2 linked regions of the Rattus norvegicus genome follow. The protein of the gene in region 2 binds, or shares a complex with, the protein of the main gene of each other region. Links are inferred from orthologs where the notes say so. Each region holds a gene or a part of one and is shown on either strand. Other genes may lie near its edges.

Region 1 (16,050 bases), on a different chromosome or scaffold from region 2:
GTAGAGCGCTTGCCTAGGAAGAGCAAGGCCCTGGGTTCGGTCCCCAGCTCCGGAAAAAAAAGAACCAAAAAAAAAAGTCAGGACCACCAGCCCAGGAGTGGCACCACCCATAATGGGCTGGGCCCTACCCCATTGGTCACTGTGGAAATGCCTTACATGGCATGGAGCAAGGAAGCGCAAGGCCCTGGGTTCAGTCCCCGGCTCCAGAAAAAAAGAAAAAAAAGAAAAAAAAAAAAGGAAGGAAGGAAGGAAAGCAAGCTAGCAAGCAAGCCCCTCTCTAGAGCTTCCCAAGGGACACTGTAGGTGATGTTTACTTTTCTACTTTTGGCTTCTAGACTTGTTTTGTTTGGTTTTCTGGTTGTTACTGCTTTTTAAAGAAACACTTATTTTATGTATATGAATGTTTTGTCTGCATATATGTACCTGCACCAGCTGTATGCTCGGTGCCCAGGGGGGTCAGAGAGGGTGCTGGAGTCTCTAAATTAGAGTTGGGAACTGCAGTGAGCCCACATGGTGCTTGGAACTTAACTCTGGTCCTTTGCAAGAACAGCCAGTGCTCTCAGCTGCTGAGCCTTCCCTCCAGCCCGTGGTTTAGCCTTTGTAGCATTGAGACGGGTCTCTATGTAGCCCTGGCTGGCCTGGAACTTGCAGAGACCCACCTGCCAGGTGCTGAGAGGCTTTTTTGTTTGTTGTTTTTGTTTTGATTTCTTGTGAGCTAAGGTCTGGAGATGCCCAGATCAACTTCCCATAGGACCAACACTTGAACTGCTGATCCTCCTGCCCTCACTCTGTAGGGTTAAGATTAGGATTACAGACTTGTGGCCCCATGCCCTACTTTATCTAGTGCTGGGATTCGAACCCTGGACTTCCCAGGAGCTCAGCAAACCCCACAACCAACGGAGCTGCATCCCAGACCCTTCTAGCTTTAAGTTTTAATGACTCAAAGCCTGAAAATATACCAAAGCATGTTTGAGGGAAAATTCTATCTTCCTTCCCAGCCATTTTTTTTAAAAGATTTATTTATTATATGTAAGTACACTGTAGCTGTCTTCAGACACACCAGAAGAGGGCATCAGATCCAATTACAGAAGGCTGTGAGCCACCATGTGGTTGCTGGGATTTGAACTCAGGACCTCTGGAAGAGCAGTCTGTGCTCTTAACCCCTGAGCCGTCTCTCCAGCCCAAAAGTAACTAGCACACCACGTGGTTCCACCGGGGCCTTCTGCGTGTAAAGCAGACGTGATAACCGCTACACTATGGAACCAGGCCACTTTTTTTCAAGATACAAAATAAACTTTAAGAGGCGCAGTGAAGAAAGCAGGCGCAACAGACTCACCTTCTGGAAACATGAACCTAATCTCTCGTTCTGAGGCCGCAAAGTCGTTGCTCCCGTGAAGTGCATTCCTTAGCTCATCTGTGCCGTATATCGCCCTTAAGCTAGAGAGAATTAAAGACACTGTCCCTCCATTCTGACACACCTTCCATCCTTCCCATTAGAGAGTTCGAGGGAGGAGGCACAGGAGGAGGTCAGAGGACTACTCTGGGAGTGGTTCTTCCCTTCAAGGTCATGGGTCCTGAGTTCAAATCCAGATCTTTCTGCTTGGCAGCATTCACTTTACCCACTGAGCCATCTTGCCAGCATTTTTTTCTAATTTTTTTTAGACAATTCATCACTAATTTAATCTTAAGCTTTTAATCTACTTAGATGAGGGCCAAATACATTTCTGTATGCCAGTAGCATCCACTGTGGAAACAAGCAGTCTTTAGGGGAAGAAAGTATTTTATGAGACATGAAAAGAAATATAAATTCAAAACTGCAATAACTTTCATTTCTGGAAACTAGTGCTCATGTTGCAATAGCCTTGGCTGGCCCAAAACTCTCAGAAATTTGCCTGCCTCTGTCTCTGAAGTCCCGAGGTTAAATGTATGTACCACCATCTCTGGAAAACAAAATTTAAAAAGTCTTACTTTCTTATTAAAGATCCTATTTCAGGATCAGTGAGTTGCTCAGCTGCTAAAAGCACTTGCCACCAAGCCTAATGATCTGAATTCTGTCCTTGAACTAATAGGGTGGAAAAGAAGAAAATCCCACGAGTTGTAGCTGACCTCCACGTGTGCAAGACACACATGCCCACAAGCAATAAATAAATAAAATGTAATTTTACAAATCTGACTTCATAGCTATGTGCTATATATAACCCAGCACCGATTTCGGGGACTGGGGGTTGGTGGGGGTGGCTGAAGTAGGAGGATGGTCACAAACTCAAAGCTAGCCTGGGCTACACAGTGACTTATAGGCCAGCTTAGGCTACAGAGCAAGAACTAGTCTCAAAAAACATTAAAACAAATAAACAAAAGCAGGGTGGTGGCAGTGTATACCTCAGTACTCGGAGGTGGAGGCAGGGGGAATCTTTGTGAGTTTGGGGCCAGCCTGGTCTAAAGACCAAGCTCCAGGACAACACAGAGAAGCCCTGTCACAAACAAACAAACAAACCAAAATCAATTAATCAGGAACTCGTTCTTTAGAGGCAGTTTAATGCCAGGCTGACCAGCAGTCAGTGAGTTGTTCTCTGCCGCCCTCTACAGCACTGGATATTAAGATAGATTTGCAGGGCTGGAGAAATGGCTCAGCGGTTAAGAGTTCCGACTGCTCTTCCAGAGGTCCTGAGTTCAATTCCCAGCAACCACATGGTAGCTCACAACCATCTGTAATGAGGTCTGGTGTGTCTGAAGACAGCTACAGTGTACTCGTATACATTAAATAAATAAATAAATAAATAAATAAATCTTTAAGAAAAAAAAAGATAGATTTGCAATGTTGAGGATGTCAAATCCACTGCCCTGCACCAGAGAGAAGTTCACGTAGGAAACTTCCACAGGCTGGGAGGCCTGAGTGTGAAGATGGCAGGCTCTGGCTTTTTTGTTTCTTTTGTTTTCTCTCCTTAAGGCAGGCTTCAATCCCTCAACCCACTTTCAATGGGAATTACCTGTCCGGGTGTGTCTCCTTGGCTAATAAACTATTAGCTGGTCCCAAAAGTTCTTTCCAGTAAGAGATGGCATTATGTCTAGCTAATATCATAGCAACAAGAGGTCCAGAACTCATATAAGCTGTTAAGTTTGGGAAGAACATTTTCCCATACTGTTCCACATAAAAGTTACTACAATGCTCAGGGCTCAGGTGTAGTTTCCGCCTCTGTAAACAAAACAAAGTCGACAAAAGCTCATTAAGACATTAGTACCTTGCCAGGCATGGTGGCACATGCCTGCAATTATCTTTGTGTTATTACACAGAAAGTAAATGGTGATTAAATGTGTTCAGAGGAAGTATTTATCCCACTTAAATAAATGATTCCTGGGCTGCGGCCAAGGCTGAGGTTCTGAGTTCATTCCCCAGAATTAACAGGAGGGGAGGAAGAAAGAATGGATTCCCTCAATTTTTTAGACCACCACCACACACACACACACACACAAGTAAATATAAAAATGTTTTTTTGGGGTTTTTTTTTTTGTTTGTTTGTTTTTGTTTTTTTTTTTGGATTACTCTGTGTAGCCCTGGCTATCCTGGAACTCACTCTGTAGACCAGGCTGACCTAGAACTCACAGAGATCGGCCAGCCTCTGTCTCCTGAGTGCTGGAATTAAAGGTGTGTGCCACCAGCACCTGGCTAAAAAGATCTTTTTGAAGAGTGTTTCCTGAGCAATCCTGAGGACCAGAGTTTGAATCTTGGCACCTACGTGACAAGTAGGATGTCCACCAGACACCTGTAACTCTAGCTACAGGGAATTTGATGCCCTCTCCCGGCACTCTTGCACACATGTATGTATACACACACACACACACACACACACACACACACGCTCACACACACACACACGCTCACACACTCGCCCTGCAATCAAGGCAACCTTGGTCTACATAGTGAGTTCCAGGCTGGCTAGGGCAGAGACCCTGTCTCCGGAACAATATTCGCTAGTTTACCTCCAGACATGGTATTAAAGGGTCTAAAGATTCCCCAGATCACATAAAGGACTATTCTGATAAACTCTACAGCCAGTTGCCAAGAAGTCAAGCTCTCACATGACTCCTTGCTTGAGTCCACCCCACCTCCCTGTGTCCGGTACACGAGCTGCTTGTTTGTTTGTCTGTTTGTCTGGAGACAGGGTGTTATCATGTAGCCCAGGCTGACTGCCAGTGTAATCCTGCCTTCCTCTCCCTAAAAGGGGCTCCTTGCGTGCCCAGCAGCCACGCGCCCTTTCCTCAGGCGTGCTAGCTCCCGCAGTATGATGTTAAATATTTAGAGTTCAGCTTTAAAGTTGTAGAAAAAAGTAACGATTCTACTTTAAATGCTTTAAAATGCGATCAGGTTTGAATCGTTTGAAATTCAGTTTGAGAAACATCGATATCAAATACATGTAACAGAACACATAGTTTTCGACAAAGAAGCTACTGCCCTCTGCTGGACAGAGGGAGAAGTTTTCAGAGCTGTCCAAGAATCTACCACAATAAAGCCAAACAAACCTTAAAAACATCCTCAATTCCAACGACCTAAAATAGCCGGGAGAGTCACATTTCTTGACTTAAAAACTAAGACAGTGGTTACTGGGGGCTGGAGGAGGTGGACACACAATACATCTTCCTCCCTCTCTAAAAGTAAGGTCACGGGCCGAGAGGTGGTTCAGTGGTTAAGAGCATCCACTGCTCTCCAGAGGACAGGGGTTCAATTCCAAGCACTCAAATGGCAGCTCACAACTGTCTGTAACCCTAGTCCCAGGGGATCTGACACCTTACACAGACATACATGCAGGCAAAACACCAATGCACATGAAATAAAGAGAAAAAATCTTAAAAAAAAGTTCACGGCTCCAGCTTGAGATGAGAAAATACCGATGAATACTGTTGAAGGCCACAAAACAATGTGGGTTTATTTAATGCTGCTGCATTGTACCTTAAAAATTATTTAAATGGTACAACTGATGTAGTATGAATTTTATGGAAAAAAATTAAAGCAAAACAAAGACATCGCTGTGTCGCAGCAGCAGCAGCAGCACAGACCACAGCCAGCCAGCCTAGCATTCGCTGCTATGTATCTGCTAATTGCTTGTTATGTTCTTGTTTTGAGACTGGGTCTCTCTGTGTAGTCTTGGGATGGCCCAGAACTCACAGGGATTCACCTCCCTTTGCCTCCTGAGTGCTTGGATTAAAGGTGTGTGCTACTGTGCCAAACTCTTGAGTTTTAATTTATAATAAACACAAGCCACTTAATTACAAAGTCTATTTATCAGTGATCGTTTTTTAATATGGATTTAAAGAATTAGAAGATGGCTCAGTGAGCAGAGGAGCATTGGTAGCTCAAGTGTCAGGGCCTGGGTTTGGATCCCCAGAATTTCCCTAATGGCCAACATTGTAGAGTGACTTTGTAACCCCTGTATACCTCTAGAGAGGGTAGTTGGAGATGGGAGGCACCTTAGAGGCCTATGACCCATTAGCCTTGATTTTGCAGTAGCAAACAAGAGAGCCTGTTCCAAACAACAAAAAAGGTAAGGCCTGGCGCCTGAGGTAACTTGTATACACACATAAACACACATACATAAACACACACACAATACACACACACATACAAATACACACATATAACCACACTACACACACATAACCACACACACATATACCTATATACCACCACCACATACATAAACACCCCCACACCTCCCCAAACATATAACCACACCACACAACACACACATATCCACATATCCATTTACTCTACCTACCACCACAAGCAAACACATCCTCACATACAACCACACCACACACAGAGAGAGAGAGAGAGAGAGAGAGAGAGAGAGAGAGAGAGAGAGAGAGACAAAGAGAGGGAGACAGAGAGAGAGACAGAGAGATTTTTTTAAAGGACTTAGCCAGGCAGTGGTGACACACACCTTTAATCCCAGTACTTTGAGTTTGAGGCCAGCCTGGTCTACAGAGTGGGTTCCAGAACAGCCAGGGCTACCCAGAAAAACCCCGTCTTGAAAAATCAAAAATAAATGGGATAAATAAATAACTTTAAACATCTTCAGTGTGCAGGGTACAGAAGTCAGAGTTCCCTCACCTTTCTAAAAATAAACCTGTAACACTTAAATCAAGCTAGGCATAGTGAGTGGTACATTGTGTGTTATCCCAGCACTCATGAGCCTGCAGCAGAATAACTGAAGCCACAGGAGCTACTTAATGAAGTCATCTTAGAAAACAAAACACAGGAGAACACCTTAATCTGAGTTCTCATGAAGGAGAGGCAGGAGGTCACCTGTGCTGGAGGACATCCTGGACTATGTATCAAGAGACTTCCTTTGTTCACTTTGGATTTTTTTTTCTTTTCTTTTTTTCGGAGCTGGGGACCGAACCCAGGGCCTTGCGCTTGCTAGGCAAGTGCTCTACCACTGAGCTAAATCCCCAACCCCCACTTTGGATTTTTAAACAGAGTCTCATGTAGCCAAGGTTAGCCTCCAACTCACTATGTAGCTGGGGATAACCTCATTAAATGTCCGGTCCTCCTCCTTTAGTCTTCTGAGCACTGGGACTTCAGGGTCTGCACTGCTGGAAGATACGGTTTATACTTGCCAGGCACATGGTCCACCAGCTGAGCTGCACATCCACCTGAGAACTTGAGTTATTTGCTTGTTTGTTCAGACAGGGTTTCTCTGTGTAGCCTTGGCTGTCCTAGAACTTACTATGTAGAGCAGAGATCTGCCTGCCTCTGCCATCTCTCTGGGATGAGAACCTAGATTTTTAAGAATCTTTTTTCCTCAAGTGTTTGTTTATCTATTTTTTTCTTCTAGAAGAAGCTACAAACACAATTTACTATTTTTGGTGGAGAGGGGTGGTAGGGATTGAACTCACAGCCTTATGCTTGCTAAGCCTGTACTCCAGCACTGGGCTACACCCTGGCCCCACCTAGAAGTTTAATTTTTAAATATTTAGATCCATTTATAGCTACCTCAGAAAAAAAAGGACTCAAATTTCATAACATTTATTAAAGACTTTGTGTTCACCTGAGTATTTTCTGTGCCATCTCAACTCTGTCAAAATCTCCCCACTATGTCATCTCTGTGGGTGACACATGCACACGTCTGTGTCCGTGTGTATATGCACACATGTGGGGGTGCAGATGCCACATGTGTGGAGCCAGAGTCCACATTGGGTGCCAGCCGCACTTGCTCACCACTTTGCGTCTCCCACTACCTCAAGCTGGCCAAGTTGGCAAGACTACTTGGTCCTCCTGCCCTGCCGCCCCAGACGGAGATTATATCCGGGTGCTGCCATCACACCTGGCTTTTACATGGATGCTGGGAATTTAAACTCATGTCCTTGTGCTTGCTCAGCAAAAAATAGATAATATGATACTATATAAGAATTTTAAGTCAGTGTTACAAGTTTCACTATGTAACCTTGGCTGGCTAGGAACTTGCCTTGAACCCAACAGAAACACACATCTCTGCTTCTTCAGTGCTGGGATGAAAAGCACAGCACTCAGCTACATATGCATTTAAAAGAATAAAAATAATGTTTTATTCTCTTAGAATTGTAGTTCAAGTGAAAGTCAAAGAAAATATTACAAGCACTAAGTTCCACCTCATCTATTTGTACACTTGTCTTTTAGTTAGAGATCTTGTCTACTAGAGGACAGTTAAGAACTCTGTGAAGCCCAAGATAGCTGGGAACTCAAGATCCTCCAGTCTTACCCTGTCTAGGGTTGGGATCACAGGTCTATGTCACTACTTCCAAGGCCTGCATCCCCGTACCCCAGGCTGGTCTGGGACTCACTGTGAAGTCCAAGTTGAGCTCTCGATGTCCTCTGTGGTGCTTGGCTTCTTTGACCCTGTTTACCAACTACAGAACAAATGTTGACCTTAAAACACTAAATGTTTGCTGTGTGTGGTGGTGCACACATTTAATCCCAACACTTGGGAGGAAGAGGCATTTGGATCTCTTTGAGTTCCAGGCCAGTCTGGTCTACAAGTGAGTTCCAAGCCAGCCAGGGCTATACAGAGAAGCCATTTCTTGAAAACAAAAACAAAAAGAAAAAACAAAACAAAACAAAAAAACCTACTGACACTAGGAACCAAAGTATACACAGGAATACTGCACATAATTCAGAAGGGATAAGTAGATTCTGGTTTAATGATCCAGAATGTTAGAAACACCCAGGAGAAAGAATGTAGTTAAGTCATTGCCTCTCCCTAGAGCTGACCTGCAGAGGAAAAGAAAAAGGCAGCATGCTTCTTTTATGTCTTATTCTATATCCTTACAAGTGTGAAAACTTGTCTGTTATTTGTAACGTGTTTTTGAGACAGGTCTCACAGAGCCCAGGCTGAACTTGGAAGTCAGTACAGGGCTGACCTGCCTCCATTATCTGATTCCGAGATTACAGGCATGTGTGCTTACATGCGCAGTTTATATATAACCTTTATATTTATAAATGTAAATTTAATGTTACTAAGGATCTAAACGGGTGGCTACATTTATATAAGTATAGTGAAAACTAATAAAAGAGACGCCAGAAGTTACCTGTATAATAGTGAATCCGGATCTCAAGATAATATCGCGTATCTCTTCTTCTTTATCAACAATATCTGGCTTGATAAGGGCTAGGGTTTTTTCTACATATATCTGAGGCAGGGGCATTGATACCTCCATTCTGGCGTTTTCCGGTACAATTTACAAATCTCCTGACCAGCTATCCGCAGCAACGACACGAGTCCCCGTCCCAAAATCAGCCTGTGGCAAAATCTGGTACTAGATTTGATTAATTTATAAAAATGGAAAGCACTATGCTTTTCTACGTATGCTTTTGCAAGAATACGACTTATACAGAGAAAGGGGAGCCCTAGCCGCTCGACTGAGGCTGGAGGCTGGATGGCATCAGTGTTGCTCTCCAGGAGTACGGGAAGGCCCTAGCCGGCTGCCCTAGCGAAGGGTCCCCACCTTGTAGGGACCACTTTGTACAGGCTTAGGCATGACAGGAAGGCAGGGTCCCAAAGTTCTCGGGAAATCTCCACCTGAGACCCTCCCAGCACTGGCCTCAGTTCAGGTGTTGTCAGAGCCCGTTCGTTGCTAAGAGACCGAAGCTGGTTTCCTAACGGTGGCTGCAGAGGCCCAATCCCAGCCGCGTTTTTTTTGTTTTTGTTTTTTTTTTTGTTTTTTTGTTTTTTCTTTTTCCTTTTTCTTTTTTTCGGAGCTGGGGATCGAACCCAGGGCCTTGCGCTTCCTAGGCAAGCGCTCTACCACTGAGCTAAATCCCCAACCCCCCCTTTTTTTTTTTTTTAAGACTCTAGTTAATTTTAACCTAAGGCAATAATTAGCCGTGTACATTTTATTCTCTTTGAGTCTTAGAGTACTACACACATTTCTCTCTCTCTCTCTCTCTCTCTCTCTCTCTCTCTCTCTCTCTCTCTCTCTCTCTCTCTCTCTCTCTCTCTCTCTCTCTCTCTCTGTGTGTGTGTGTGTGTGTGTGTGATATGGAGGTAAGAAAACTTTGTGGAGTCAAGTCCTTCCTGCGTTTCTGTGGTTTCCAGGGACGGAACTCAAGTGGTCTTCTTTACCCTTTGAGCCTTAGCACCAGCTCTTCTCTAATTGATCTCTTTTCTTCATGGTACATGCTTGAAGGATGCATTCCTTATCTGTAAATGAGATAAATCAGACACCTCTCTCGGTCCACTCCAGTTCCTCCTGGTCATTATATGAAAGACTAATGAGAAATTTATTATTTACTCTCTCTTTCCCTCATTCCTTTTCTTTTTCTTTTTTTCTTTCTTTCTGTTTTGGGGTGTGGGTGGTGGTGCTTGGGATCAAACCTGGGCAAACAATTGACCACTGAGCTATATTCCCAGCAAATACCTCCTGTGCTTCACCATATGATGCTGCTCCCATCATCCAGCTTATTTAATCATTTAGAAGCCCCCTTTGCAAGGTCAGGTAGTCTGGGGTTGAGTTCCTCTAATCCCAGCACTCCATGAGAGGCAGAGGCTGGATGCAATGGGGGTTTCCAGGAAAGCCTGGGTTTTGATGCTGTGCCCCAAAAACCAAACAAAATCTTTAGTTTGCAAACTATTTATTTATAGAGAAACAAAAGGTTCAATCAAATTACTTTTAAGTCTATGCAACAAAAATGTGGGCAATATTTACATCATAAATCCAGATCTCGGTACCCTACCCCACCCCTTTAAAAAATACTACATTGCAAGCACCGTTGACTTTTGAGGTAGGAGGTGAGGCATTACTATCCTTATTTGAAAAGTAGTGGAGAAGAGAAGTTTCCACTTCTTCTCTGGCCAGTCCTAAGGAGAGCTGTAACTTGAGAAAGAATCAGACTTGTAGTTCGAAGCTAACAAAACAGGCTTCCTTGGTCCACTGGATTAGCTGCACTCATTCCAGGCTACTCAGGTCCTTCCTTTTATCCAGCCAAGTACTCAGAACCTACAGGAGGAATGCAGACAGGAAGCCATGAACCTTAAAGCCACAGAGCAAGTGTATGAAATTTTATTTATTTTTATTGTCAAACAGATAAAACTACACCTTTTAAAGTTTGATGCTTCCCAAAAGAGAAACCCTTACATGTCTCCTTGAACTCACTATGACTTCTCCTCCAAATATGGGTCGGATACATGTACATTAATGTCAACAGTCGGGGCTGGGGATTTAGCTCAGTGGTAGAGCGCTTACCTAGGAAGTGCAAGGCCCTGGGTTCGGTCCCCAGCTCCGAAAAAAAAAAGAACCAAAAAAAAAAAAAATAATAATGTCAACAGTCACAACAAAAGAGACATGGACAGTGGTCCAACACCTGACTGGCTTTCAGTCTTACAACTCGGGCCTCTGAGAACAGAAGTATCCATCACTTGCTCATCTCCTGCCATTTTTGCTGCTGGCCTTCCCAGACATCCTTATCCCACTGTGTGTTAAATCTGGGCCCATGAGGACAAGGAGCTTCCCAGTCACAAGAGAACACCCACGTTTACCACAGGCTCTGCCATCATCTCTGAAAAGAAACTCTAAGAACACGAGGTCACTTCCATTACATCTTTATTCACACAGGCTTCTGAATCCCACTCCAGAATCCATGGCTCCCTGCCTTGTGGCACTCTGTGTTGTACAGTACCTGGATCTGCTCCAAGACTTCCCGCTGCATCTCCACCGCCATGTGGTATATGTGATGATCAGAGTCATTGTACATCACGGCATTTTGGAACATTAGCATCAGATCCCTCTGGAACTCAGCCATAGTGTGAATTCGTCCCTTAGACAGATTCCTCTTCAGCGTTGTTAAGTCCATGGGTCTGAGGAAGGGAGAGGAAACTAAACCTGAATATGTAAGGTCTAATGAACTAGTATTCTGGAGGCAGGGCAGGAAGATTACCATGAGTTTGAGGACAGAGGGAGGTACACAGTGATTCTAAGTCAGTGTGAGTGAGAGACCCTGTTGCAGAACAGACAGGACAAACAGGCAAAAACCGTAGTGCCTATAGCAAGCTCTTGAGAACTGGGTCTTAGTGAACCTTAGCGACTACAGGGCTTTGTTTTGCTTCTGTTTTCCTCTCTCAACTTGATACAAACTGAGGTCATCTGGGAAGAGGAAACCCCAATTAAGAAAATGTCTCTTTAGACTGTCCTCCAGGCATGTAGGAGCTGTTTTCTCTGGTTTGGTTTGGTTTGTTCGGTTTTGGTTTTGGATTAATGGTGCATCTGGGAGAGTCCAGCCCACGGTGGGTAGTGCTACTCCTGGGCAGGTGGTCCTGAGTTCTGTAAGAAAGCAGGCTGAGCAAGCCACAAGCAAGCTGGTGAGCAGCACCCTCCATGGCCTCTGCTTCTGTTCCTGCCTCCGGTTCCTGCTCTGAGTTCCTGTCCTGACTTCCCTGGATGATGGCCTATAAGCAGTAATAAAACCTTTTTTTCCCAGAAAGAAAAAAAAAAGAAAGAAAGAGAAAAACCTTTTTTCCCAAGTTGACTTTGGTCATGTTGTTTACCACAGCAATGGAAATCAAACTAGAAACTAGCAAAGATAATACTTTTCACACAATAATAAAATAGCAGACCACACCTGATCCTTTATAAAGGTCAAGCACTACACCGAGCACATTCCACAGTAAATCACTCAATGAACACACAATGTAGGCATCACTTACCATCATCATTACATTTTAGAAGCAGTGGATATTGAACCTAGGATAGCAGTTCTCAACCTATATGTCACAACCCCTTTGGGGATCGCATATCAGATGTCCTGTACGTTAGATAACTTACATTATTACAATTCCAAACAGTAGCAAAAGTACAGTCATGATGTAGCAACAAAATAATTTTGGGCAGGGGGTCACAACAACCTGAGAGATTGTGATAAAGGTCACTGTATCAGGAAGGTTGAGAACCACTGCCCTAGTACCTTACACATCCTAGGCAAGTAGCTTCTCAATGAACCTTTGTCCCAGCCCTCCTTTTATATTTGTACAGACAAGGTCTTATGAAGCTGCCAGGCTGGCCTTGAACTTGCTCTTCTACTGCATTGTCTCAGGGAGTTAGCCTCTCAGGCTTGCTGACCCAAGGCACTCTGTGACTGCTTTTTTTTGAGATGGGGGTTTGCTGGGCATGGTGGCATCACTTTCTGCCCAGCCCTTGGAAGCTGCAGGGCCATCTGTCTTGTCATTGTTTATGCTGGCCTACACTTGGTGATATTCCTGCCTTAGCTTCCAGAGTAAGAATGGGTACCACTGTGAGGCCTGAAGAGATGAAGTGCTGCTCCTTTCTGGCTATAACCATGGGAGCACCAAGGAGAAGAAAAGACGGTTCCTGATGTGCTAGAAACTCCTATTTTTTCCCGCTCCATCCCCTCCCACCTCATGCTATAAAATCTTAATAGAAAAAGACATTTCAGAGTTGAAGACAAAGCTGCTCAAAAGAAATATTCCCAACAGATGCCTCAGAAGACAGAGGACGCTTACTGTGGAAAACAGCAGCAGCAAACCCACCCCGTCACAAGGAACACACAGATGTACAGAGCCGAGACTCCAGATGGCAAGACTAGCTGGAGACCTCTGTGTCCTTTGCAGAACTCAAATTGGCATTTGTCACCAGAATCAGAGGTGTCCTTGCTGTGGTCTGAGTGTAAAATATCCCCTACCATCCATGTGTTTGAACAATTGGTCCCCAGCTGACTGAGCCACTTAAGAAAGTTGTGGAACCTTTAAAAGGTAGAGCCCTGCTGCAAGAGAAATGTCGGGGGAGCACAGACTTCATGCTTCTCTCTCTCTCTCTCTCTCTCTCTCTCTCTCTCTCTCTCTCTCTCTCTCTTTCTCTCTCTCTCCCTGCTTCCTGTGGACCAGGCAGCCTGTTCTCTCCTGTTCTACTCCTACACCTTCCATGACATGATAGACTAGCTACATACCAAGTACTCAAATATTCTGATTCTGTGGAGGGCACTTAAAGTAACACCATTCATTCCCTTTCTCCATAAGTTCACAGGGTAACTGTCAATCTGAATACATTCAGTCCAACTTCAAAAATCCCCATAGTTCCTACAGTGATAACACTCTCAAGGTTCAGAAATCTAAATCTGAAATATCTAAAACTCAGGTCTCTCGTCTGGGACAGGGTTTTACAGTGTGGCTTTCCTGGGAGGAAGAGACTAGCTGTCTCATCACCAAGCCTGTAGGCACTTTTATCTTAGACTTTTCAGGTTGCAAATCCATGGGAAATAAATTTCTGTTGTTCGTAAATTATTCACTTAGTGGCATTTTATTATAGCTCAAATGTGTGTGTGTGTGTGTGTATGTATCTGTGTATTTGTGAGTGTGTGTGTGAATGTGTGTGTGCATGTGACTGTGTATGAGTGTGTGTGTATATATGAGTGTGTACCTGTGTGTGTGTGTGTGTGTGTGTGTGTGAGAGAGAGAGAGAGAGAGAGAGAGAGAGAGAGAGAGAAAGAGAGAGAGAGAGAACCTGCCCACAGGAAAGCCAGAGGTTGACATTAGCGTCTTCCTCAGTTGTTCTGTGGCTGACCCTAGAGCCACTGTTCTATCCAGACTGGCTGGGATCTTCCTGTCTTCAAGCCCCAGCAATGCAACTGTAGGTAGGTGCCACTGCCACTGGGCCTAGCTTTTTACACGGTGCTGGGGATCCACTCAGGTCCTCATGACAGCAAGGTCAACACTCACTGACAGAGGCAGACTCCATTATGGCAATGTTTTAGATGTACTATGCTAACATCCAAAACTCTTCACTTAGCCAATGTTTTTAATTTCTAACATCTTTATCTTAATATGTCTAAAAGTATCTTCCTGAATGAACACAGGGACTCCCTTAAAATTTCCTTTAAGAAAATATTATCAAGGGGCTGGAGAGATGGCTCAGTGGTTAAGAGCACTGACTGTTCTTCCCGAGGTCCTGAGTTCAAATCCCAGCAACCACATGGTGGCTCACAACCATCTGTAATGAGATCTGATGCCCTCTTCTGGTGTGTCTGAAGGCAGCTACAGTGTACTCATGTATAATAAATAAATAAAATATTTAAAAAAAAAGAAAATATTATCACATGTGGAAGGACCTGGGGATTGGTGCACACATATGTAATTGTAGCACTGTGTAGACTGAGGCAGATACATCTCCAGTTAGACAAATGGCAAACACATTTTAAAACAAACATTAACAACACCTGTAAATCTTGTACTCAAGAGGTAGAGGCAGGAGGCTCAGGGGCGGGGGGGAGTTCGAGATCATTGTCAGCTAAGTTTGAGCCCACCCTGGGGTACACTGTCTCAAAAACCTATAATCTCAGTCAGCAGAGAAGCAGAATGGGAGGAAATGGAACCCACAAGTTTAAAACCAATGTAGATAATGTTGGGGCAGAGAGCAGAAAGCATGTTAAAAATTTTTTTTTCTTTTTTTCGGAGCTGGGGACCGAACCCAGGGCCTTGAGCTTTCTAGGCAAGCGCTCTACCACTGAGCTAAATCCCCAACCCCATGTTAAAAATTTTTAAGTCAGAGCTTCACTGGCTGTAGAATATATCTTGAGTTTGTGAGTACCATAAATAAGATAAGTAGCCCAGGGCTGGAGAGATGGCTCAGTGGTTAAGAGCACTGGCTGCTCTTCCAGAGGTCCTGAGTTCAAATCCCAGCAACCACAACCATCTGTAGTGGGATCTGATGCCCTCTTCTGGTGTGTCTGGAGATAGTATACTTATATATCTTTATAAGTAGTAAGTAGCCCAATAGAAAATAAAGACTGAAAAGACAGATAAAAGCCTGTACTCACTTCACTCCCTTCAGACTTAGAAGCAGAAGGATTAGGAATTCAAGGTCAACTTTAACTATGAGGCAACCCACAAGACAAAAACAACAAAGAGCTGAGCCAGCCTGGGGTTGTAGCACAGCTGACAGTGCTTACCGAGGACGCACTAAGCCCTGGGTCTAACCTTCAGCGCCTGGTTATAAGCCTATGATCCCAGAACTCAGGAACTGGAGTCAGGAGGGTCAGAAGGGCAATCAAGGCCATCCTCAGCTATCTGGTCAGTTTAAGGCTACCCCGGGCTCTAAACAAACAAACAAACAAAATAAATAAATAATAAAAAGTCGACCAACCTTTGCCTTGGCCCCTTCCTACTGACCTTTTCACCACATCCTTGTATCCTGGGGCCTGCTTTTCTGATACAGGTTTCAGAAATGGGCTGCTAAACCTGTTAAGAAACAAAGCCGCGTGGGTGGAGAAGCTGCTGCTGAGTCAGTCGTAAAGAGATGGGCTAACAGAGCTAGGCATGGTGGCCCTGCAGCACTAAGGCAGCTGAGAGAGGAGGATCACCAAGAACTGGAGGCCTGCCTCGCAACAGCATATGACTTCTAGTTCTAGGTGAGCCAGACTACAGAGCCAAACCAAACAAGCAGCAATGATGACGTTTGTCTTCTTGTTGACGTCCCAAACAGGGGCAGGGGGTCCAACCTGCAAAATATTTTACTATTATTTTTTTTTTTTTTTTGGTTCTTTTTTTCGGAGCTGGGGACCGAACCCAGGGC
Region 2 (15,971 bases):
TTTTTTTTCTATTTTCAAGGATTCTGTGGGCAAGATGTCAACGGGAGTCACTTACTATGCCTAGTGTGTGTGGCTCTGAGGGACAAGCAGGCCCCGGGTAGCTTCAGTATGCTTTACCCTGTGCTAGGCACCTTGAGGAATTTCTGACCCCTGGCTGAGAGAGGCCGAGCTGACTTTTCCACTCCTCCTTCCTACCTGGTGACGCTTTTCACACTTCTGCTTAATCTGATAGCTTCCTTCTTTCAGTGTTGCTGTAGCTTTTGCTTCCTTGGAGTTGCTGTCATGCACTTCTTGAAGTTGTAGCTCCTCTTGCTTTTTCTGCAGGAATACGAGAAAGACCAATCAGGTCACATCCCTTAGAAGGGAGCTTTCCCTCATCTGAGGCAGGCCTGGGCTGATGAAGCCTACTGAACTTCCGATTGCAAGCATTAGCTAGCAGTAACTGCAAACCCAACCCCACAACCCACTGAGCTAGATTTCCTCCCCCCCCCCCAGTCCTCATATTTCAGATACAGCTAGGACATCTCAATCCTCAGAAGGCATATGAGTCAAACACCCCCGGGCCAGCTCAGGACTGTGACTTGGATTCCAAGTTGTTCTGAGCAAGCCGCACCCTCCCTCAGCAGACCCAGTGCACAACACCTTCTCTTCAGCTTTGGTTATATTCCTGTGATGGTAAAGCCAGTGAGCCAGGTACTCTATTGGGTCATTTGGCTGCACCCTTGCCACCTCTGCCAGTGCCTGGGTCAGGGTGTTTCCAAAGCATTTCTTCAGGTAAGCAGTTTCCATGCTGGGGACCTGGGAAACACCAAATCGGATACTCTAATTACAAACACAATCTAACTTTTAAAGTAGGTCCATTCTCACAAGTTAGGTTTGTTCCAGGAAAAATAAGAAATATTTTTGGATCACACTTAGTATTAGCTTTCCGTTAATGTAACGAAATGCTTGATCTCATCAACTAAAGAGGGAAAGGCTTGGCTCTATGGACATTTGGTCCCATCTCTTTTGGCTTGTAAGAAAGGGTATATGGTAGGTAAGACCAGCCCACTTTAGGAAAAGGATGGAAAGAAAGAAAGGAGGAAAAGAGAAAGGGAGGGACATACACTCCCAACCCCTCCCTTACAACACAGAGAGAGAGAGAGAGAGAGAGAGAGAGAGAGAGAGAGAGAGAACGAGAGAGAGAGAGAGAGAGCTCTTCAATGGTTTGACCCAATGACCTAATTTCCTTCCACTAGGCTCCCTGTCTTAGGCTTTCTGTCTTAAGGACTCTGCTTTTTCCCAGTATTGCCACATCCACAAACACGCTTTTAGCATGTGACCATTTGGGGGAATCTTTAAGATCTGAATCACAACATTGTGCCACTGGTTCCCAAGATGGGCACTTACCTTACAATGAAAGATACACTCAGTATATTGTCAAGAGTCTCTGGAGTATTTCCCTCATTTTTTTTTGTTTGTTTGTTTGTTTTTGTTTTTTGTTTTTTTGGGGGGGGTTGGTTTTGTTTTTGTTGGTTTTTGAGACAGGGTTTCTTTGTATTAGCCCTGGCTGTCCTGGAACTCACTTGGTAGAAGAGAATGGCCTCAAGCTCAGAGATCTGCCTGCTTCTGCCTGCCTCTGAAACTGAGAGAACATGGCAGTAGATGTTAAGATTCTTCTCTGCATTTATTACAGGTTGTTATGGATTTTGTGTTGTCTAGATGGGCAAATTATATAATATCAGTTGCCTCAGAGGATATTGTGTGATGTGTTCTTTCATGTGGCAACTTAATGGAATTCAAGAGAGTGTATGGTGGCCGGATGCACTGGGCTGCCACAGACTTGGGATGTGTATGCCTGGCATGGTGGAAACCAGCCAAGACAGCTGCGAGTGAGGGTGGGGCGGTCTGACAGGGTGCCATGTTGGAATGGCTCAAGGACAGCAGGTCAGAAAGTAGATGGGGACAGCATGGAGCTGCTGAGATAATTAGTGCTAGTTCCAATGGCCCACTGGAGCCAGAACAATCAAGAGAGTGTGACTGCCTGGGTATGCGCAGGAACCAGTTCCAGCGTGTTTTAATTTTTCCTGCAACACAAGCCTGATGGTGAAGACATCTAGTCATTTAGGAGCCCAGTGCAAGATGATCAACGGCTCAAAGTCTTCCTAGGTGGCAGACCAACTTCAAGTGTCTTGGCACCTTAGTAAGACCCTGTTTCAAAGTGCAACATTCTCAGGGGCATAGTTCAGTGGTAGCGCACTTGGCTGGCATACACCATGCTCCAGTTTCATTCTCAATACTGCAAGGAGAACAAGAGGAGGAGGAGAAAGAGGGAGAAGAGATAGAGACAGCTGCACAGAGAAAACTTTCGACTAAAGCGTAAAGCAGGAAAGGGTGCCATGTTGGAATCTAAGCATAGCGAGACCAAAGCCCAGAAAGGCAAACCTGAAATCCTGTAACTCCATGTCTACTAGCGTAGTAGCATTATAATGGAAGTTAAGGGCTGGGCAGTCTCTTGTCTACGCCTGCCTGGCTGCAGTCCACGTGGCCTCTCTCTGGGACTAGCTCACCTGTCCACATTTCTGGCATCTCTGGGTCCTCCCCCACTTCACCCTCACAGCCTCAGATATTGCCCTCTCTGGAGCTGCCTGCAGGGATTCTGTCCTGTCACACACTACCTGGTCTTCCAGGGCCTCCTTTGAGTTTTAAGTGGAAGCCTTCACGACCCTACAGCCCATCCATTCTGTATGCCTGAAAGACCAACATGACATGGGCAAAACCACAATTACAGAACCGAGTAGTATGGGGGGTGTGGGGGGTCCACTTGGATCAGAACTGCAGACGACTGGATGTTTAAATACAGGGAAATGAGTCATGAAAAAGTAATTCCTTGGGCTTCCTGTGTTCCCAGAGCTATGCAACTCCATGACTTCGTCAATCATGTTTTGAAATCTTTGATGTATAGAGCATCGTTGACTCTTGAGATGCCTTCAAAGGATCCTTTCAATTGTGCCGATGTGAGATATCTGTCCACTTCTTTTTCTTTGGGGCTGGGGGTAGGGGACAGCAGAGACAGCATCTCTGTAGACAAGGCTGACCTCAAGTTCATAGAGATCCACCTTCCTTAGCCTCCTCAAACCCCCGAGTGCTGTGAGTCACGGTGTGCCCACCACTAAGGATGTGACTTCCCTGGCAATTACCTCCTGCTTGGCTGTGACTGTAGAGACTCTCCTCTCCTCCTCTGTTGGGGATTTGCTTATATTATGTTAACTGGGTTTCCAAATTCACAGGAATTTGCACATCTGGTGTGTGTGAGACTCTGAGGGTCCCTTCCTCCAGCTGGTTCTAATGGGTAAATGAAGTTGCCGGTGACCAAGGGCTGAGCAGGGAAGCAGAAGCAGGACTTTGAGACTTAAGATTTCCTGGGCAAGGGAATCACAGGAAGGAGGAGGATTTGGGAATCAGCAGCCCAGGAAAGGAATTGGATGCAGGCTCGAGAGCTGTGGAAAACAGAGACCCGGGGGCCTCTCCCCCGATTGGGTCTGGATAGCAAAGATAAAATATAGGCTTTTAGTAAGTAATGGTTTAGAAGTATTGGAGGGGAGGCATTAGCTACATAGAAGTTTGAGAGGGGTCCAGCCATTGAGCTGTTTAAGGCGTATTAAAATAAAAGGCTGTGTGTGTGCGTGCACTGTGTACGTGCATGTGTGTCTTTCATTTGAGAATCCAGAGCACTTTGGCTAGTGGCAAGGAACCCACGCCACAGCCACTGGCAGGACGATTTGAGTAGTGTTAATAATTAATGCAACACTCCTTCAACTGCAAGCTCTTCGAATCTTTCTTCTTTACTTTTCACTCCCCAATCTCATGGTAAACCTGGCAATAAACAGCCTGCAGTACTTAGCCTGAATGCTGGACTGTCTGAAAACTTCTCCTGCCAGGTTAGTCCTACATCTAAACTCCGTCTCATGTAAAATTGCCGGGCATGGACAAATGCAGACAAGCAGTTTGCCAGAATACAACACAAAGGGCCTCCAGTCGAGTTCTCAGTAAGAGCTTCTCTCTACCCGAACCTCAGGAACCTGTCTGTGGGCTCCACACTGTCTTCACATTCTTAGTGTCAGGTCCAAAGAAAGCTCCACTTCCCCAAATTCCCATGGCTTCTATTAACTCACCAAGGCACTTGCTGGCCTCCAGCCTCCCTCAGTGTCACAAGCACCTGTCACACACTTCAAAGTCCAGCCTCCTCTTCTCACCTCCTCCCCTACCTGAACTCCCCCAGCTCACAGCTCCCTCCCCGTCTTAGGTACTCATTCTTCTTATAACTCTGCTTTTTCAGCTATGTGCTCTCTTTCTCCTGCCTTCTCCTCATGTTCGTGTTCTCTCTCTCTCTCTCTCTCTCTCTCTCTCTCTCTCTCTCTCTCTCTCTCTCCACCCACCCCTCTCCTCTTATCTCTCTGCTCCTGCTTCTCTAATGGCCAGGTCCAGTCAACTACTTCTTCTTGTTCAGCCTACTTCTTTCTCTCTATGCTCTGGACTCTGCAGATACTTCTGGCTGCTCTCTCCCTCCATCTACAATGAAACCCTCCCCTTACCCACACCATCAATCAGTCATATCTTCAGTTTATATCCTTATTAGTACTCTGGTCTTCTGAGCCCTTGCTACAACTGCCCATCGAGTTCTGCTTATAGCACTGTAGGCCTGCTTCTCCAAAATTTTCAAGTTCCAAAGATTTCTGAAGCACATTAGCAAGTCATCAGAGCGATAAGCCTGACTTCATGGTGCCGATTTTCTGTATCAGCAAACTTAATGTTGCTATTACAGAAAGGCTAAGATAATCAACTAAAGAGACAAGGTTTACTTTTGCCCAAGCCTTCATATTTACTTGGCTTCATTGATTTGGGGCCTTTGGAAAGCAGAAGAAACCTCAGGGTGTGGAGTAACATATGAGGACAAAGCTGCTACCTCAGGAAAATAAGGAGAGAGAGAATAAAGGGTCAGAATCCTGCAGTTCCCTTCAGGGCACGCTCTACTGATACAGCTTCCTCCAGTAGACCCTACCCATTAAAGACTCCATCAGCCTCCAGCAATACTACACGTACAAACCGATGGCATGACTGTCCATAGTATGGGTCAGGGAAGGCTCTTATTGTAGATAGGAGAGAGAGAACAGCCAGAGGCATCTGGAAATGTTAGGAGCAGAGAGGCTGGGGAGAGACAGAGAAAGAAGCAGACTGAACGTGGCCAGTGGACTGGACCTGGCCGGGAAAGAAGCAGGAGCAGGGCATGGGAGAGGAGGACACAGTGGGGCAGGAAACGTATACCAAGATTAGCAGGGTTATAAGGAGAATGAGTAGCTGGGGGAAGGGAAGCCCATGATGGAGTTTAGGGTAGGAGAGAAGGTGAGAAGACCTTGGATGCTAGCATGAACCTTGAAACACTACGTGTGACACTGAGGGAGCCTGGAGGCCAGTATGCACTTTGGTATGCTAATAGGCACCACATTCTGCCAGTGATAAGGGAACATACTTTTTTTGGTAGAGAGGAATTGGCTTTGGCTTCACAAGTTCCTGCAGCATGCTGGCTCTTAACAAGCACCACAAGTTCTCCTATAGTTCAAGCTGGACCCATTTCTGGATACTCGGACTGCCTTCTGGAGTTTGAGGAACTGTGATTTCATTTGGAGCTAAAACTACAGACTGGCAACCAAGACTTTGGGGGTCACTTAAAAGATGCAAACCGTAACATTACCTTTCTTAGAATAACCAACCAAATCACCCTTGCCGATCGCTGTTACGTTCAAGCCCGCTTCTTCAGCTTTTCAGCTAGAATACGTCAGACCAGGAGTCCCAGTGGTCATCAGTGTTGAAAGGGCCTGGCTCATTATTAGTCAAGGGTGCTGAAGACTTTTAACCAACCCACACAATATTCCCTCTTAAGTACAGAGAAAATAAGGCCCTGGAGAGAAACTCTGTGTATACAGCAAGCTGTGCTATTGTGAGGTTGGAAGCTATTCTATGACATAGACAGCAGAGGCTCATTTACTTTACAGGGAGAGAGAAGGAGGAAGAAAATGATGGGCCTGCAAATGATGGGCCTGCCAAGCCTCATCTGACATGCAATACCACAGCACGGCTTTAGGGAGAGCGGATGATCCTGCATTTCCTAATAGGTGTCAAGAGTGGCAGATAATGTCGTCTGACACAGAAGTTGCAGTACCAGAGCAGAGCCACAGCAGCACAGAGACCTGCACCAGACAGCCCACGTCTTGGTGTTGCCACTTACAGCGGTGTGCTCGTCAGCAAGTTGCTTGGTGTCTCAGAGTCTTGGCACCTTTTAGAAAACAGAAGTAAAATACATACCTCACAATATGGAAGGAGCGAATGGAGCTACTGATCACGTGAAAGGCACTGAGCCTGGCATACAGCAAGAATTTAAGAAACAGGAGCTATTACGGAACAAGATTTTGTCAACATATGTTCCTAGCACCAAGCCTCCATATTCCCAGTTTTTCAGCTCACGACTGAATAACTAGACATTGGTATAGAAAATATAAATACATTTTACCCCTCACTGATATCAGAGTCTAGAATCGCAAATACCCCAGGAGCAGTGAATGCTGCCAGCACTCTTTGTTTCTTTGTTTTTCTCCATGAGGCGGGGTTTCACTGTGCTAGGCTTGCCAGCAACTCCCTAGGTAGCCCACCATGGTTGAACATGCTTTTTCCTGCTGATCCCTTCCCAGTGATGGATGCGAGGTGTGCACCACCATACCCAGCTGCAAAGGGGGATTAAATATTGTTCATGAATTAAGGGATCGTAGATCCTTAAGGAAAAGTTTGGCTCCAGGGTTGGGGCAAAAAAAAATATAAGCAGCCAGAGACAGTTTATTATGCCAGGAAGTAAGACTCTGACAATGTAGACACAGGAGCCATCTTGAAGGCTTATTCCAGTGCTACATTTTTGCTTCCACAGGAACCCATAATCTCAAACCCGGAACCTGTGGATGTTATGTTGTATGATAAAGGGGGCTTTGGAATTGTGATTAAGGATCTTAAATAAGGAGTGTGTGTTATACAAGCGGGACCTCTCAGTTACTTTTCTATTGGTGGTGAAGAGATACCACGATCAAGACGGTTTACAAAAGAAAGCACTTAACTTGAAGCTTTGCAGTTTTAGAGGGGGAATCACAGCCGCCATGGGATTGGGAGCATGGGCACAAGCAGGCACGGTGCTGGAACAGTTCTCAAAAGCTTGTCTTCACGTTGGAGGTAGGGGCAGACAGAGCGAGCCTGCTGTGGACTTTTGAAACCTCAAAGTCCACCCCCAGTGACACACCTCCTCCAACAAGACATCTCCGAAGCCTTTCAAAAGAGTTGCAGCAACTGTCAACCAAGCATTCAAATATCTGAGCCTCTCGGGCTCATTCTCACGGAAAGCGCCACATAGGCACAGCTGTAATTGCCAGAGGTGTCAGTAAGGCCAGACGTGGAGGGTGGCAGAGTGACAAAACACATGGAAGAAGGAGCATGAAAGTCAAGATCATGTCCAGAGACAGCTTCTAGAAGTCAGAAGACAGGGAAACGGAACATACAGAAGGGTTTGTGTGGATTAAGTTTTCCACATCCCTGCTGCTTCATGTGATCGGACGAGGAGTTGTTGTTTGGTGAAGTGCAACTTCCGATATCTTAGATTGAATATATGTGTGGCTCGACGAAATCCCCAGTGCAACCCCCAGTCACTGATCCTCTCGCTATTCTCGTAGAATCCCAGCACAGAATCACCAATGCACTGCCAGAGCGTCTCTCCATGCCTGGATTACTGAGTGACTGCTGCACTGCTTAAACGCGACAAGCCCTCTGAGGATACCACCCCTGGCACTTGTCCCACATTCAGTACCGAGTAAAGATGTCTGAGTGCTCTGATGTTGGGGGCGGGTGGGCAAAGGAAGGGCTCAGACTCTGTTGATCCATCAGCGTCCCTTCTTGCATTTATGCAAGCCTCTACCACCGAGCAATGCCAGGCCCATTGTTTGCTTTTTGTTGCTCTGGTAAACACTATGACCCGGGGGGAGGGGGGAAGAATTTATTTGGTTTACAGATTACACTCAGTCTATCATCAAGGAAAGCCAAGCCAGCAACGCAATGGGAGAGTGAGCGTGAAACAGTAACCATGAAAGGAAGGCTTTCGTTCTCTGGCTGATTCGGCTACCTTTTCTACACAGCCCAAGCCTGCCTTCTCAGGGACAAGCACTCCCCATAGTGGACATATGCCCATAATTAGCAACCAAGAAAATGCCTCCCAGACACGCCCACGAGTCAATCTGATGGAGACAATTCTTCATTTGAGATTTCCTGCCCCCAGGTATATCTAGGTTTGTGTCACATTGACAAGAACTAACCACGCACACCAGGGGAGAGTGCAAGCTAGAGCCTGGTGGAGGGTGTCTTTGGGCTAGCTGAAGTTGCTTGTGTGTGAGTTCACTCTGATATTTTGGTTGTGAGCCTAGCCTTTAACGGCTGAGCCATCTCTCCAGCCCGTGAGTTCACTCTGAAAGGTCTTAAAATTACCAAGCCAACAAGCCTGCAGCCTTGAAAGTGTCTCTCCTGACTTCAAAGATCTGCTGCTCCACAAGGCTCCTATCTAAGAAGAGTCCCCGTGTCTGCTGGGTTCCTCCCGCTGTTTCTCCACAGTGTTTCCTTTCCCATAAATCTGGTTCTCCCATCTGCGTGCCCCCTCCCCTACAGTGCGCGTTCCTGGCTCTATCGAGAGTGCACCCCCTCCCCTAGAGTGCGAATTCTCCTTTCATTTCCCTTTGCCTCCACTACTTGGGCTGCAATGGAACCTTAGCTCTACACTAGAGCGTGCTCTCGTTGCCAGGCAACGGGACGCGACTCACTGGCGTGTGGCCAGAACGTGCATCGGATGCGTGCACCAAGGAGGCTGGAGCGTTTTCCTTCGAACCGGCCCTCTAGTGTCTCTGCAGAAGCAGTTCTAAAATTTTCACCTTGAGAGTCAAGTAGGTCTCAACTCAGAATCCGAGGGAGGGTTAGTTCTCCTGTAAGAGCCTTTGGAGCGCAAGGACTCCTTCTCCTTCCTCCTCTCTTCCGGCTCCTCCTCTTTCTCTTCTTCCTCCCCCCCTCCTTCTCCCGCCCTCTAGCCACCCAATAGGAAAACTAATCTAAGTGTCTAGGTTGGTGGCTGCCTGATTGAAATTTACTTTTAGATAAGCAGGTTACTTGCTAGCACAAATATATATAAGACAATTATTCATTGTTTCTCAGAAATTAGGTCTGCGGTGGTTTTGAGTGCCGAATCCAGCACTCTTCCCAGGTCCTGGCAGAGAACCTCCTCCATTGTCTCAGAGCAGCTGCTCCAGATGTTTCTGTGGGAGCGGACTTTCTTCTGTGAAGCTGGATGAGCACTGGTGTTTGCTGGGAAATAACACTTCTTAGGACAGAAGAGATGGCTAGTAGTTTCCTAACCTGACCAGGAAATGTATGTTGCAGAGATGACAGAGGGACCTCATGAAAGCCCCACGGAGAACGCTAAGCAGCTGCCAGAGCCCCAGATCCTATGTTTTTGGAGCAGCAGGAAGAGTGTATTCCATGTTGTATATAAATGACACTGATACGTCCATGTGGTGATCTTATCTATAGAGAATTTCCCACAGAAGAAGCACCGTGAAGACACAGCCCAGTCAGTTGCCGTGTTTGTCTCTCTGTGATTAGGACACCAGTGCCAATCTAGTTGGAAATCAGCGTATTTGTGCCAGCTCCAGTCGTTCTTAGGGCTACACTATACATACACGTGTATATTCCTTTGGAAGCAGGAGCAATTTCTACATCTCCCTTTTCCTCCTGCATTGTGCCTCACTAGGAAACCACTGCCTATTTTAGAGAGCATTTCCAGCCCCTTATATTGTGGCTGGATTCCATGGTGTTGTATGTAATTGATCCCCTGCCAGGACATTCAGACAGCACTTTCAGTCTGACTATAATAATAACGTGTGAATAACCACGTTCACATGTCACTCCAGTCTTGAGTCTGCACCTTTGAGACAGGAGTCGAGAACTGCAATGGTGAACATATTCTGGTCTTTTAATCTCATTGGGTCACAATTCTGGGCTTGGGTGGGATCATTTGTTTGGTCTGTTATCCTATATAACTATAAATAGAAATAGTCACCCTAAAAAATACTCACGTATCTGCCTTCATACCTGAAAAGACTGGGGAACAGCTGAGAGTAGGCACACGTTTGATTACTTGCCACCATGGAGAGACAGCAGGGCACACACATGCGCATGCATGCACACACATACTAACACTCTCTTATACACTTTGTAGGCAGCATGACAAGGGCTGTATGAGCTACTTGAAGTAGGAGAAACTCCCTTGTACTGCTTGACAAAACTCCAGAGCCAGACATGATCTGTGGCTCGAAGGAGGAGGTATGTTCCAAGAGTAGAGAGGAAAGGATTATTGAGATGGGAAAGCACAGTGTGATAGCTAGAATATGGCAGGATATTCAGTGGGGTAAGAGCCCAGGATATATGATGACAGGGACGTGCTTGAGGTGAGTCTTAAGGGAAGCTGTGGTGGTTTGAATATGCTTGGTCCAGGGAGTGGCACTGTTAGGAGGTGTGGCCTTGTTGGAAGAAGTGCGTCACTCTGAAAGTGGGCTTTGAGAGCTTCTTCCTAGCTGCCTGAGGAGGATGCCAATCTTCTCCTGGAGGCCTTCACATTAAGATGTAGAATTCTCAGCTTCTCTCCTGCAATGCCTGCCTGGATACTGCCATGGTCCTGCTTTATGGATAATGAACTGAAACTCTGAAAATGCAAGCCAACCCCAATTAAGTGTTGTCCTTATAATAGTGGCCTTGGTCACGGGCACTGACTAACACAGAAGCTGATACCAGAGACTGAGGATCGCTGTGATACCATGGTTTTGGCTGGAGGAATGTGGCTTTTGGGACTTTGGATTTGGAAAGCCATGGAATGCTTCAAGTGAGGCTTAATGGTTCGTCCTAGTAGGAATATAGAAGATATTGGTGATTTGAACTCTGGAGATCTTTCTTATGCTTTGGTGAAGAATGTTGCTGCTCTTTTCCCTTGTCTGAAGAGTCTGTCTGAGACTCAGGTGAAAGGACTCAGATTAATCACACTGATAAAGAAAGTCTCAGGAACACCCAGCATAGACTTTGTCCTCTGGATTACTGTCATGAAGATTGCTCTGATTAAGCATAGCAAGCCTAAAAAGAAAAACTACAAGATGTATGGTTCAAATAATAAATGGGCACCAGGAAGTGCAATGGAATGAAATCCTGCGTTCAAGTATATTAAATAGATTAAGGGAGTGGTGACCTCAGGACAAGATCCCACCCAGCTAAGCTTATTGTTTATGTGTTTGCAGTTGGACAAGGAATAGTTATATATCACGTTAGGTATTGTTACCTGGTTATTGTTTTCATTTTGACTTTTAGTCTAGAATGAACTACAGTCCAGAAATGGAGAGTACACCTGTGATCCATGTCTTAAGGTTGGAAGAGACAGGCTTGATTCGGATCTTGATGTAGAATGACACATGCTTTTGATCCAGATCTTGAGGAACAGTGACCATGAAAAACTTAGGTCCAGGCATTATGGTACATGTCTTTAATCCCGGGCGGGGGGGGGGGGGAGAGAGAGAGAGAGAGGAAGAGAAGAAGAAGAAGAAGAAGAAGAAGAAGAAGAAGAAGAAGAAGAAGAAGAAGAAGAAGAAGAAGAAGAAGAAGAAGAAGAAGAAGAAAGGAGAAGAAGGAGAAAGGAGAAGAGAGGAGAGGAGAGGAGAGGAGAGGAGAGGAGAGGAGAGGAGAGGAGAAAAGAGAAGAGAAGAGAAGAGAGGACAGAGAGACAGATACCTGAGTTCAAGGTCAGTCTGCTACGGAGCAAGTTCTAAGTAAAGGAAAGCTTAGGTCCAGGTGTGATGGTACATACCTATAATCCCAGAACTCAGGACACTGAGACAAGTACATCTCTAAGTTGAAGTTCAGTTTGCAGAGCAAGTTCCAGGAGAGCTAATCTTAAGCAGTGAAGGAGTTGGAAAACAGAAGGCTGGTAATAATGTAATAGAACGAGGGAGCAATGTTCCAGCCTCGGCAAGCAGCAGGACTCGCCAGCTTCAGCCACACAGCTCTGGCTGTAGAGTCAAAACTAGACAGGACTACTGGGAAAATTGATGCTGATTAGCTGCAGTTAAGAAATTAGTGGTGAGTAAGAAGAGACCAATATCAGTGAGGTAACATCTGGGAAGTGTTTTTTGAGAGCACAAAGAAGCTGTGTTCCAGAACCTGTGTTCCGGGTTGCACCTTGTGCTGCAGCTGGACTTGGAATGGGTAAGAACCACACAGGTGGTACTGGTTTGGAAGAAATAAAGTGGTCATGGAGAGCAGCTGAGGCAAGGCCCTGAGATGAGGGAAGGACATTGGTGAAGATTGAGCCTCAATTGCAGTTGATAGCCCAGGACTGAAGGGGTCATGCAAAGAAACTGAGGCTTGGCACCATGAAGAGAGCCTATGAGAGGCTACTGGTGAAGCCTAGTTGCAACAGAAGACTCCAGTGAATTGGAGACACCCGTCTCATGGGGTGATCACCAAGAACAGCAGCAGCAGTGGAGTGGAGTCAACCAGAGCCTAGAGTGCTACAGAGGGCAGAGCTGGAGAAGTGACCCAAGCCCTTAGGAGGAGCCCAGAAGATCATGTGTGACTCTGTCATTGGAACAAGAAGCTGTGAAGTTGACGTTGCCTCGGACACCCCAAGATGTTAGAGACGTCAAAGCTAAGGAAAGCTACCAACGGAGTGGAACCAGCCCAGGGGAGAGAAGTTATTGTAGTCATCAAAGGAGTTGGATATCAGACTTGGAGACATGGAGTTTGGAGTTTGCTCAGCTGGTTTTTGGGTTTGCTTTGGTACTGTGCCATGTGTATATGATCTGATATTTTATTTTGATTTTTATAGGAGATTACAGTTAAGAAATTTCATGAACCTCAGTAGAGACTTCAAACTTGGGCTTTTAAACTTTGAGGAAACTGTGACAGAGTATGAGGATTTTTGAAGTTGGAAGAAATGTATTTGCTTTATTCTATGGCTAGGTATGGTCCCCGCAGGCCATATTTGAACAAGCCTATGGGGGCAAGGGAGTGGAACATGCTTGTCTGAATATCCTTGGCCCAGGGAGTGGCCTTGTTGGAGGAAGCGTGTCACTGTTGGGGCTGGGCTTGGAGAGCTTCCCCCTAAGCTACCTGAAACTGACAATCTTCTGGAGGCCTTCAGATCAAGATGGAGAACTCTCAGCTTCCTCCGAGCCATGCCTGCCCGGACACTGCCGTGCTCCTGCCATGATTATAATAGAGTGAACCACTGAAAGTGTACGCCAACCCCGATTAAACGCTCCCCTTTGTAAGAGTTGCCTTGGTCATGGTGTTGCTTCACAGCAATGAAAACCCTGACTAACACAGAAGTTTATGAGTAACCCTTGCTGTTTATTGGGATTTGAACTGATATCCTCTGGCTTCGACAATACACGATTTTACAGAGGAGATGGACAGTTTGTGATGTTTTATTGAAGTGCTTAGGAGAAGCACCTTAGAGCCACTAGAGTTATGACCGTGAAGTCAAGAAGTGAGCACAAACCCTCCATTAATCTGCCAGCCAAGAGCTCACGGCTGTTCAGTCAAGCTCTCTGAGTCTAGCACCTTATCTGCCAGTTGCCTCGGATGGGGTAGGCTTAAACTGGCACCAGCATTACTTAGCACAGTGCTATTAATAATGCTAATGTCTCATCCTGGTTTTGGGACTAAGCTGGAGAGCCTTTGGGATGTAGAAGCTAATATAACTATGGCTACTGCTGAGTTCTCTTGTAGATGGTTTGAAGCTTCCTGAGGCCAACTTGCTTATGCCATGCCTTATAAGAAGCACCACGACTAGTGGCCTAGTAGAATGTTCAGGTGGCCTCCCTTGATCACTCTTTGCTTATTTGCTTAGTTTTGGTTTTTCAAGACAAGGTTTTTTCTGTGTCACCCCGGCTGTCCTGGAACTCTCCCTGTAGACCAGGCTCTACATGCCTCTGTCTCTCTAGTGCTGGGATTAAAGATGTGTGCCCCCACTGACTTCCCAACCTCCACTTTCCTTTGAACTGTGCCTACTCAGAACACTTTTGGCGCTAATGAAAAACTTCTGTGGCTGGTTTTATTTAGGAGTTAGAAATGGAGTCAAGATACCTTCAACAGTGCCTGGGGACCTGCCTAACTCAAGGTCTTGCGGAAGTTGCAAGAGTTCGCCCACTGGATCCCATTGAATATTTAGCCTTGTGGATTTATAAGTACAAGGAAAACGAGAGCATGGAGCAATTGGTAAATATGGGGCTCCTTTTAGAAGAGCATGACAATTGGTTCTTCTTGTCTATATTTCTGTATTCAATCTGTTTTTCTATTACAATATATAAAAGTGGAGAGGGGAGGAAACTGAAAGTTTGTTTTGATTTTCAATATTTTCTTCTCTGTGTTGTCTTTTTCTGTTGTATTTGAATATGTCAAATATGTTGACATATTTATCTGTACACTTTTTCTCTTTCTGCTTTCTTTTTATTTATATTTATGGTATAATCTTAATTTTGCATTCTTCATTCACCTAAAACCTAAAACTCCCCCAAAATCGTTGCATAGTTTCCAAGTGAATAGACCATCATTTGCTTAACAGACCTTCTAATGCTTGTAATTGAGACGCTTCTGAGGTCGCATTTACACACTTCTGGATCTCTAACTGTGTGCTGTTGCTTTCATACCAATTGCTAGAGACAGAAAGAACTGATTGCGTTGGAGCACGAGAGAGAATTAGCTATGATGGAGCAGGAAATGATGGATCGACTCAAAGCAGAGGAACTCTTGTTTCAGCAGGTGAGACAAGAGGGAGGGCGTGGCTGAAGTGAACATCGCCCTTGGTGAGTGCACCCACATCCTGAGGTACTGACGATCTCCGGCCACTTAGACATGGCTCTCTAGTATTCCGTTTCTCTTTCTGGAAAAGTCTATAGCATGAGATAATAGGACAACCCAGAAAGTGAGTTGGGGTGGAAGCCAAGGCAACAGTGAGGCCAAGGGACAGTAGCCAACAGCCCCACTGCTGAGCTGGTGCTCATTCTAAGGCCAGGCAATCTCTCTAGGAAGAGTGGGCAGGGGGGAGGGCGGTAGGTGAGGAGAGAGATAATGAGTGAGCATAGTCCTTTCATGGAGCTTGTGAGGGGACGAGCAGTGGGCTTTATTTTGGTTTAAGAACACACAGAGTACAATGAGTGACACTAGAAAGTAGAAAAAAATAGTCTAGAGGCTCTGTCCACAGGCATGAGAGAAAATGGGTCTGGTAAACGAGTGGACGAGTGCTTCTTATTGTAGTTCAGGGACAGAGAATGGGTGGCCTCCGTTTTAGGTGGGTGTGTCACCTGGTGACAAGTTAAAAGCAGACTTCATGCTACCGTCTCTATTGTCTGTACAAAGTAAGAACCAACCGTGAACACACATGAAGAATAATGAAATAATATGGTACTAATAATAATTATATTTTATTATCATTAAATAATACGGTAGGGGATGAAAGAGTGGGCTGATCAAGCTTTACATGTTGAACATCTCTAACCTGAAAAAAAAAATCCAAAAACTGTTCCTAAGCACGAAACTTTTTGTGAACTTACACAACGCCAAAAAGTGAGAAATCCCACACTGTTAATCTTTGTTTCACGCAAAAATTATTAAAATATGGCATACAATTATTTTCAGGTAGAAGGCAAAACGTAACTGAATTTCATGTTTAGGCTTGGGTACCATACCTAAGGCATCTTTCTATTTTGATTTACATATTAAAGATATGTAAATATGTCAAAATTAAGAGATCTGGAGCAGATCTAGTCCGAAGCATCTCTGAAACAAAATCCTCAGCCTGCATGACGCCACGTTTCGAG

The links.
Region 1: the proteins of Dydc2 (region 2) and Nme5 are in contact, whole or in part, in a cryo-EM structure (PDB 8X2U), measured with the Mus musculus proteins. The link is inferred for Rattus norvegicus from reciprocal best matches to the Homo sapiens genes DYDC2 and NME5. Residues at the interface, in NP_001347537.1 of Mus musculus: Asp2, Tyr5, Leu6, Cys9, Phe10, Gly13, Leu14, Leu18, Val21, Ala22, Arg23, Val24, Arg25, Pro26, Asp28, Pro29, Ile30, Glu31, Leu33, Ala34, His35, Leu37, Tyr38, Tyr40, Arg41; in NP_542368.2 of Mus musculus: Arg140, Ala145, Val146, Ile147, Ile151, Pro152, Ala156, Ala157, Tyr160, Ile161, Tyr164, Val165, Thr168, Leu169, Leu173, Leu176, Cys177, Lys180, Pro181, Asp183, Pro184, Tyr185, Leu186, Leu188, Ala189, Asp190, Leu192, Met193, Asn196, Pro197.

What each region holds. Positions count from the first base shown.
Region 1 is NC_086036.1:26,445,736-26,461,785, forward strand, and holds the start of Nme5 (NME/NM23 family member 5), read right to left. Parts: upstream 9,094-16,050; 5' UTR 8,692-9,093; coding exon 8,563-8,691; intron 3,194-8,562; coding exon 2,988-3,193; intron 2,804-2,987; exon of another isoform or gene 1,438-2,803; coding exon 1,337-1,437; exon of another isoform or gene 1-1,336. Other genes in the region: Brd8 (bromodomain-containing protein 8), read right to left, coding at 10,420-10,470, 11,150-11,327, 15,648-15,716. UniProt on the Homo sapiens protein: Functions as part of axonemal radial spoke complexes that play an important part in the motility of sperm and cilia. Does not seem to have nucleoside diphosphate kinase (NDPK) activity.
Region 2 is NC_086034.1:16,966,935-16,982,905, forward strand, and holds the start of Dydc2 (DPY30 domain-containing protein 2), read right to left. Parts: upstream 9,053-15,971; 5' UTR 8,988-9,052; exon of another isoform or gene 8,846-8,987; intron 8,345-8,845; exon of another isoform or gene 8,095-8,344; intron 7,988-8,094; exon of another isoform or gene 7,880-7,987; intron 6,314-7,879; 5' UTR 6,266-6,313; intron 6,100-6,265; exon of another isoform or gene 5,732-6,099; intron 3,325-5,731; 5' UTR 3,180-3,324; intron 799-3,179; 5' UTR 790-798; coding exon 643-789; intron 319-642; coding exon 196-318; intron 1-195. Other genes in the region: Dydc1 (DPY30 domain-containing protein 1), read left to right, coding at 14,224-14,370, 14,812-14,913.